Linked DNA regions of Rattus norvegicus. The protein of the gene in region 2 purifies or fractionates together with the protein of the main gene of each other region. This does not show direct contact. Links are inferred from orthologs where the notes say so. Each region holds a gene or a part of one and is shown on either strand. Other genes may lie near its edges. The genes, in order: Grk2 and Git1.

Evidence for each region.
Region 1: the proteins of Git1 (region 2) and Grk2 purify together in Homo sapiens (affinity purification with western blotting; 4 studies listed by BioGRID and IntAct, with this or other methods). This does not show direct contact. The link is inferred for Rattus norvegicus from reciprocal best matches to the Homo sapiens genes GIT1 and GRK2.

Annotation. Positions count from the first base shown.
Region 1 is NC_086019.1:211,028,005-211,032,440, reverse strand, and holds the start of Grk2 (beta-adrenergic receptor kinase 1), read left to right. Parts: upstream 1-1,427; 5' UTR 1,428-1,562; coding exon 1,563-1,675; intron 1,676-4,436. UniProt on the Homo sapiens protein: Specifically phosphorylates the agonist-occupied form of the beta-adrenergic and closely related receptors, probably inducing a desensitization of them. Key regulator of LPAR1 signaling.
Region 2 is NC_086028.1:62,838,789-62,843,267, reverse strand, and holds the start of Git1 (ARF GTPase-activating protein GIT1), read right to left. Parts: upstream 2,875-4,479; 5' UTR 2,823-2,874; coding exon 2,771-2,822; intron 1-2,770. UniProt on the Homo sapiens protein: GTPase-activating protein for ADP ribosylation factor family members, including ARF1.

The DNA.
Region 1 (4,436 bases), on a different chromosome or scaffold from region 2:
ATTCTTGGTAGCTCTGGGGGACTAGACTAAGCTGTTGTTTGGCCTTAAATGGACAGTAATCCCATCAGATCTAGATTTGAGGACAACCATTCTGTTCGGAGCCTGCATCAGAGGGCAGCGGTTATAGGAATCCTGAGAGATGGATAGGTCAGTGGTGACATAGGAGGGGGGGCATAGTGGCAGGTGGGGAAAAGCAGTCTGGGTTTAGACCTGGCTGTCTAGGGATGCCATCCACTGACACCCCTCCCCCCCAGATTTGTTTACACCTGAAGTAGTCAAGAAGTCAAGGGAGTGGGGGTGCTTATTTTGTTGGACATGAGTTGATAGGAGAATTAGTTTCTAAGTGTCCAAGACTGAAGTGGGAAGACTGGGTTGAAAGTGTCCTTGGAAAGCAAAGAGGTGCTCTAGCTTGAGACCAGGTCTCACTGTTTAGCCCTGGCTGGCTTTGGCTTTACAGAAATGCACCTGCTTTTGCCTCCCATGTGCTGGGCAGACAGAGTAGGAAGGAGTTGGCTAAGGAAGAAGGCACACAGGAGGGATCAGCGGGTAAAATGCTTGCCACCAAGCCTGAGGACCTTGAATTCTATCCCTAGAGACCTATGTGGTAAAAAGAAAGAACTGACTGTCAAATTGCCTGTCTTCGAACCTCCGTCTGGGCATACACAATAAACAAACAAACATATAAACAATAGGTTCGGCCCTCATCAGAGTATGGTTTGATGGACTATGCCTTTAATCCATTTCAGCCTTTGGGAGCAAGCAGATCTCTTGGGCAGCCTGCTCTACATAGTGAGTTACAGACTAGCCGAGGCTACACGGGTAAACCTCTCTAAAACAAGAACAACAACAAATGTTCGTGGTCAGGAGGGTGGCCCAAGATCTGAGTCTGGGGTCCTGTTGGGAGTTTGAAGTCCAGGATTGTCATCCAAGGTCTGCGGTCAGGTCAGGTCAGATGATGATCTTGAGAGAATGTTCAGAAATTTGAGTATGGGGTCTTGATCGGTGTCAGGATTCTTGTTATGATCCACGGTCTTGGGTAAAGGCCCGAGTAGGAGCGTGGAGTTTAGCATCCGGAGATGCGATCAAGTTAGTGGCCATGGCTTGGGGTCTTGGGTCGATCTGGTGCAAGACTCAGGTAACAACAGTCCAGGACTGAGACTCGTGTCCCGGACACGAGCGGTGCGGCCTCTAGGGGGTGCTGCGGTCCGCCCGCCCGCCCGCCGCCCGCCCGGCTCGGCCCCTCGGCGGCTCGCTGGCGCTGTGCGCGGCAGGCGGGGCCGGAGGCGGCGGCGGCAGCTCCGGGGCGCGGGCGGGCGGGTGGTGGTGGCGGCGGCGGCGGCGGCGGCGCCCCGACTGCAGTCCCGGCGGGAGCGGAGCGCGAGCCGGGCCGGGCCCGAGCCGGCGCCATGGGGCGGCGCCGCCTGTGAGCGGGCGACGAGCGAGGACCGGGCGGGGCGGCGGCGGCGCCGAGGCCGACAAGCCGCGCGGGCCGGGCCGGGCCGAGCGAGCGGGAGCGGAGCGGAGCCTCGGGCGGCGGGAGGAACAGCGCCGCCGCCGCCAAGATGGCCGACCTGGAGGCGGTGCTGGCCGATGTGAGCTACCTGATGGCCATGGAGAAGAGCAAGGCCACGCCGGCCGCGCGCGCCAGCAAGAAGATCCTGCTGCCAGAGCCCAGGTGAGCCCGCCTGTGCCGGGCCCCACGCGCCGCCCCGGGATACAGTGCCCCAGGGACCCCTCTCTCCGTCCTAGGTTCCGGGGACCCTCTGCCCCAGGACCCCACTATCCCGGCTGCCCCATGACCCAAGAACCCCTTCTACTCCGGGGACCTTCTGCCCCGGAGACCCCATTATCCTGGCCGCCCCAGGACTCAGAGACTTCCTCTGCCCCTGCCGCCGCAAGCTTGGTGTCTGTGAGCACAGAGCGCCCCAAGTCCAAGCTCCTAGCCGCGTTCCCCGGGCCGCCTTGCCGCTTCCTGTATCTCACTGCCGGGCCTGGTCGCTGTCAGCCCCAAGCTCTGCTGCAGCCTTCATTCCACCCTGATGCTTGGCTCTGCCCTCTACCCTCTGTGTCCTCTTGTGGTTCCCTTCCTCAAGTCTGCCTCTGTTTACCCGATTGTATCACACAGTCTGTTGCTCCTGCTCCCAGCACCCACTCACCCCCGTTGGTGTTCACTACCCTTATCCACTCCCCTTGGAGTGGGTAACACTCTTGTGAGGTTTGTGGAGTGAGGAGGACCACTCTGGAGACTTTTTTTTTCTTTTGCTTTCGCCTACGGTGGGGTCACTATGAGATTGGGTTTGGGAGTGTTTTCTGGGGACAGTGCAGTGTACCGTCCTTGAGGGCTGCGCTCGGGTGAGGGAAGTCCCTTCTTTACCCTTTTCCCCACATGTGGTTCCTTGTGGGTACTTTTGACCAGGGGACCTCCCATCCTACAGCAACTGGACGTGCTGCCACCTCTCTGCAAGACAACTGATGTCATCGCACCTGGTATCAAAGTTTAAACTGTCCAGGATGTGGGTGCAGAGTAGGGCAGGATGTGAGAGGTGTAGCTGGGGCTTGTCCAGTATACTATGGCAAATAGACTTATCTTCCCATGTGAACTGCTCAGGAGATCAGAGAGTGAGTGAGGCAGGTGTAGTTTTGTTCCCATAGAACAAGGTATGTGTGAGAGAGCTCAGACTTGGATGGCTTGTATAGTGTCACCTGGGTTATCCACAGTGGCACCTGGCCTCCACATCAGGGCTCTCAGCTTCTGGTTTTATGTTTCATCCTGACCTGAAGGGCCTGGATGTCCTGCATCTGGAAGAGATGTGTCCACCCACCAGGATGCCACATGGTGGGTGGTGAGGCCAGTCCCTCCAGTTTCTTATACCAACCCCTTTAGCAGCCAAGAACTGGCCCTGATTTTACTGCCATTCTATGTCATAGGACATGGGGCGAGTTTCCCCCCCACCCCCAGTGGGCAGTGTGAAATAGGCCTCTAGTGGCCTCAGTCCTTAGAGTGGGGTGGGCAGCTTGCAGGCTTGCTGCTGTGCCTCTCACTGGGCCCCTCCTCCAGTGGCTGCACACTGGGTTTCAGTTTGACTGAGAACGGTGCCCAGTAGAGGAAAAATTGGTCTGTGTTTTGAAGAGGCCGTTGGGCCCCCCTTTTTTCTAAGACATTTGCAATCAGATTTCTCAAAACAGGAACTAGACTGAGTGTCAGCTGGGGCTGTCTAGGGGCAGCAGCAGTTAGGATGGAAATGAGTTCAGAAATGACAAAACTTAGAGGGAAGAGTGGGGGAGGTGCAGTCAGCATCTAGGGTACTTGTTGAGCTCTCCTGGGTAGCCACAGCTGTGGGATTCTAATGCAGGTGGGAGGTCTGCAAAGTTTGAGGTGGTGCCTTTTCTAGAACTCTCCATGTCTGGATAGTCTTTCCCCAGAACGAATTGCTCTTAATGGATGCCCACCTCAGGTCGTCTCCCCTGCTGGTGTTCAAGAACCCTGACAGATGATGATCTGTACCTCTCTCTCTTTTTACCTTTTCATATGGCGGCAGCTATGATGTGATGCGATCAAACAAGAATGGAAAGTTTAATAATTCATTATTTATTTTGACATCTGTCATCTCAGTTGATCCAAAAACCAACATGTGAAATTGGCAAGGCCAACAGTTACCAGGATGGGGTGATTTCTGTGAGCAAAACTGAAGCTGGCTTGCAAGTTCTAGGGAACGACACCACAGGTGCAGGGTCACCATCAGTCGTACATTGTTGGGCCAACCGCTCAATCTGTGAATGGTTAGGAGCCTCTAATTCTGGTCACTGGTGTGCTCAGAAGAGTCGCCTTGCAGTAGCCATGGCCCTAGGCATGCATGCTCCCCCACCCCGCCCCCGCTCCCGTCCCCCCACCCCACCCCCGCCAGTGATGGAAAGAAAGCAGGTCCCCTTCATGGTGTACTTTGCGCACTCTCAAGGCAGAGATCTCTTGCCCTTGAAGGTGGTTACCATCATGTCTCAGGTGTGCCCAATATGTCCCAATGTGTGGAGTGTCTTGTCTTCACAACTCTGGGACTCTGGCTGGCCCAGCAGACTGCATTTCTCTCATTTACAACCGAGAGGCTTTGAGGCTTGTCACATAGAAGCTCTGGGATTGGATCACAGATCTCTGGAGTCCTGACCACAGTACTCTTCCTACCTGTGCTTTGTCTCTTCCTCCCAGTCCCGTAGAACTGCTTTGTGACCAGAATCTGAAGCCACTTGTCGTGGGAGCTTGTGGGTCTTGGGTAGTGGCCTGAAAGTAGCAGGGCAGTTTCTGGTATCATCAGTGGTTACAGTATACAGGACCCAAGCCCTTCGCCAGTTGCTGAAACAGAAACAGGCTGCCCTGGCAGAGCTAATGCACAGATAGAAGGACAATCCCATGCCAGGGCCTCCATTAGATACAGGTCCTGCTT
Region 2 (4,479 bases):
GTTATAGAGACTACAGGACACTCACTCACCTGGCGGTACTGAGTTATACCCAATACAAGAAGCAAAAGCCAGCTGGGCAGTGCTCATGCACAACTTTAATCCCAACACTCAGATGGCGGAGGCAGAGGCAGGTGGATGTCTTTGTAGACAAGGCCAGCCTGGTCTACAAAGTGAGTTTCAAGACAGCCAGGACCACATAGAAGAGACTTATCAGGAACCGGCCTAACCACCCCTACCCCTCCTCCCCAAAAGCAAGAAGTCTACCCATTTGTCCTTGTAAGAAGACTTCTGAGTGTACATTACCCTGCAGAATACTCCCCAGCTCTGGTCACTTATAGGCTGGGTATCTGGAGGTCTTTACCCCAGTCTGTCAAAGTGTAAGGCTGACTTAAAGGCTGTGGGTTGAGGGTTAGGAAGTGAACACTTGGGAGCCGGGTCAGAGTGCTTGGGACCAAGGCGATGAGGCAGAGTGGGCAGAGGAAGAGAAAGGGGATAACTGACATTCTTTTTTTTTTTTTTTTTTTTGGTTCTTTTTTTTTTCGGAGCTGGGGACCGAACCCAGGGCCTTGCGCTTCCTAGGTAAGCGCTCTACCAGTGAGCTAAATCCCCAGCCATAACTGACATTCTTCAGTGCACCCCAACTCCTGTTCTGTCCTAGACTCCAAGGCAGGCAGGGGCATGGCACCTGGTGAGGTGGCACAAGCTGCCACAGCAGGTGCATTGTGTCCAGAGGCCTTGCAACATATTCGTACCTGTCTCTGAAGGGTGGGTCTCACCTCTTACCTCCCTTATACTCTTGAGTTAATAAACTACAAGAGACTCCATGACCCCACCCCATGATCTCACGACATAGCCCTGGCTGGCCTGGGGATCTGCCTGACTCTGCCTCTTAAGTGCTGGGTTTAAGGGCACGTGCTGCCATACCTGGGCAATACAGAGGTCTATCACAGTGACGCTGTGACTTTGGGCTATCCTGGGATCTATGAATAGATGAGTTATATTTTCTCATACATCACATACATGGAATACGAGAATGCCAAGCCTTCTTATCTGGGATGCTTATAGGCTCAGATCAAGAATGTCATGATCGGCCAGACCCAGTGTGGTATAGGGCAGTCCTGACAAACACCAGCACTTGTACCTGGGGAGTAGTTGCTGGGCGCTAAGGTGGGAGAATGCCAACATTCTGCCCCTCAGCTTGGTCACCTGCGTTCTGCATCAGAGGGAGAAAAGAGAGTCCTCAGGCAGGCCTGCCCCGGTCACATGAGGATGGGGGCTATGAGCTCAGTGGCCTAACATCTAACACACCCTGTTCCTCCCAGCCCTGACTGGGTGTCCAGAGGCTCTGGCCAGACAGACACAGACAACAAAAAGATAGCTGCTCTATCTTTCAGGCCTCTGCTCCAGAAGCAAGAACACAGACTGGGAAATGCAAGGGTCCTCAAAATCCCAGAGTGAGCAAAGCTTCACAGCGTAAGCTGGAAACAAAGGCACTACCTGAATCAAGGCCTTCCTGATGTTGGCCAGGGAAAGGGAGCGGTCATTTCCAGCTAACTAGGGGTATGGACACCCGTCTGTAAAACATGACATATCCTAAGGAGGTCTCGGAGTCAGTCATCTACAAGATATCCCATGCTCATGGCTCATGGCCAGCTACCCACAACTCCCAACACTCCAGTGTAGACCACAAGAACTACAGGACCATATTCCTTGGGCTCACAGTCAGATCTTGGGATTTTAAGGGGTGACTACAAGGTACGGGCCCACAAACCAGCACTCCACACTCTCACCTAATCACATCTACACTGCCCAGAGTCCACAAGACCCCAAGCCTGTATGGAGAGACTGCTTCTTTTATAGAGGATGGGCAAAGCCCAGAGCTTCCTGCTTCCAGCCAGCTGCTGAGTCCCATCACCTGCTGTGTCCTCCCACAGAAGGGATCAGCCTGGTGAACTGCTGCCCTCCATTCACTTCCTCAGCAAGCCAGGGGGGTTTCATACCAGCTCAGACTGACTGACTCTGCTGGTTAGTAGGGAGGAAGCAGTGTGTAAGTCCAGTCACCTCAGGAGTCAGCCGGACAAGGGGAGCCTAAGCACCCCTCACCACTTGGCCAATGAGCTAGAAACCAGGAGGGATCAGTGTTTAGACTGAGCCAATACCTAGCACACCTTCTCCAACAGGCCTACCCGGAACAGGAAAAGCTGAGTCTAGATGTTCCCAGCCACTAGCAGGCCTGGAGATGCTTCCGGGGAAGATGCCCATGCTTAGATTGTCCCTGAACACCGGGCCCTCCAAGGAGCCCCAGCCTTGGGAAGCCGGGGCTGGAGTCCTAGAGTAGCCACCCCTGTCAGGTGCTCTCTAGGATCCCATATCCAGGCCCCTTGCCTTCTACCGCTCCGGCGGGCACGCGGACCATGTGAGCAGCAGGTGCAAGACGCGGGGGTGGCAGGGATGACACAAACCATACTAGCGCCCACCTCCCACAGCCTGCCGGCCTCCGCCACAGCCCTCCTGACACACCAGGCTGGCGCTTCCGTCTGGATGCCGAGATGGAGGTGGGAGGCGGTTCCCCCCATGTCCACCGGCTCCAACGCACAGCGCCCCCCGCAGCCGGCCCTCCCGCCAAGGACGCCGCTCCGCAGTGGCCCCCGCCCCGCCCTCCGGCCCCGCACGGCGCTCCCGCCAGGCCTCGGCGCCCGTCCGGCGGCGGCGGCGGCGGCGGCGGCGGCCTGCGGCGCGGTCCCGCCCCCGGCCTGGTCCCGCCGCTTACCAGGGGCGCTGCAGTCCGCACACACCTCCGCTCGCGGCCCCTTCCGGGACATCCTCAGCGGCGAAGCGGCCGCAGCCCTCTGGGCCAGCGTGGGGGGCGCGGGCGGCGGGCCCGGGCGGCGGCGGCGGCCCTGCGGCCCGGCCCGGCTCCCGCAAGGCCCCGGCTAGGCTCCGCGCGCGGCCAACCGTCCGCCCCCGGGGCTGGCCCGGAACCCGCCGTGCCCGCCCGCCCGCTCGCCCTCGGGCGCCCTCCGCCCCGCGCCGCCCCGCGCCGCCCCGCCGCCGCTCTCCGCTCTCCCCGCCCCCTGCGCGGCCCAGGCCGCTCCTGCAGGAAGCAGCGAAAGCCCTGCCCACCGGGGGAGGGGCGGCCCGCACCCCGCCCCGGCGCTCCGCTTCGCTCTGTGGCCGAGCCTCTCGGAGAAAGGAAGCCTGCGCGCAGGCGGGAGTGGACCGGGGTTCTTAAAGGAGCCGCGGCCCGCTCCAGCAGGGTCTGCAACCGAGACACTCGCTAGCACTTTGACCTTCACTTTCCGATTGGGGAGTGGTCCAGGGGACTCTCGGTCCAGTAACCGCGAGACGGACGTGGTGGGGATTGCGGTGGACAGGAAGCATCCCCAGGCACAATACTTCTAGCTGTCAGAGGCTGGATTGGGGTGAGGTGTGTGTTCTGGTTCCCTCTGTGTCCAAGTCAGTGTCCATTTGGGTCTGTGGCCATAGCCCTGTGGAGTGCACTCACTACCACCAATATGGACGGCCAGGTGCCCGAGAGGTCACTTAAGTGTGACTCCCTCCCTGAGGGACTAAAAATACATCATTCTTGTTTCAAATAGGAAAGCAAAGAGTCTAGGTGGTTATTAAGAGTGACCACTGTGGTGTGTGCACCAGCTCTAACTTGCTATCTGTTTCATGTGCATCAACGACGTTTCTGGGCCGCCCAACGGGTGTATATGTAGCCTGAGCATACGCTTAAAACACACAGGGGCCAATTTCTATAAGGATCTTTTTCCTTGGACTTCTCATGGAGGGGGGGGGGTAGGAACTGAAGTGCATGCTGTACGTGGGTGCACCCCGCACTGAGCATGCTCCCCCATACACGTGTGACCCGTTTGTGCCCAGCCCCCACCCCTACAGCCGCAAAAGGGCTGTCAGAGCACTCAGCTTATGGAGAGGGCAAAAACACACACAACACCAGGTGGGGGGGGCAGGTCATAGGGAGAGAGGCAGGTCAGTAGTGACATAGTTAAGGGAAAGTTCCCTCGGTGTCAGGGATTCCTGCTCAGTAATAAAACGGAGGTTTGGGAGGAGTCCTTGGATAGGGGTGCCTGAGTGGGTCTATTTCTCCCAGCAGTGGCACAGCAGCAGTGACTTGTGGGTGGGCAGGCTCCTTCCCTAGGGGGAGACAAGCAATGCTTATGAGTCACACCACCCAAAATACACGCTAAGTTCCATCGCCTTTTGCTGCAACCCAGATTGACAAGTTTGTTTGAAATTGCGATCCACAGGATATATTTATAATCTCACCTTAAAAAAAAATCTTGCACCCCCCCCCCCGCCCAGTCAGCAGCTCAGCAGGTGGGGCTTCTGACAGCAAAGGGTGATGGTTATGCCACCCCGTGCTGCACTCATACCCAAAGGTCTGTAGGCTTGGTGGCCCCAGCATTAAAGGTGGGAAGCAGTCTGGCAGCTAAAACTGGGCGCGCAGCCCAGGAG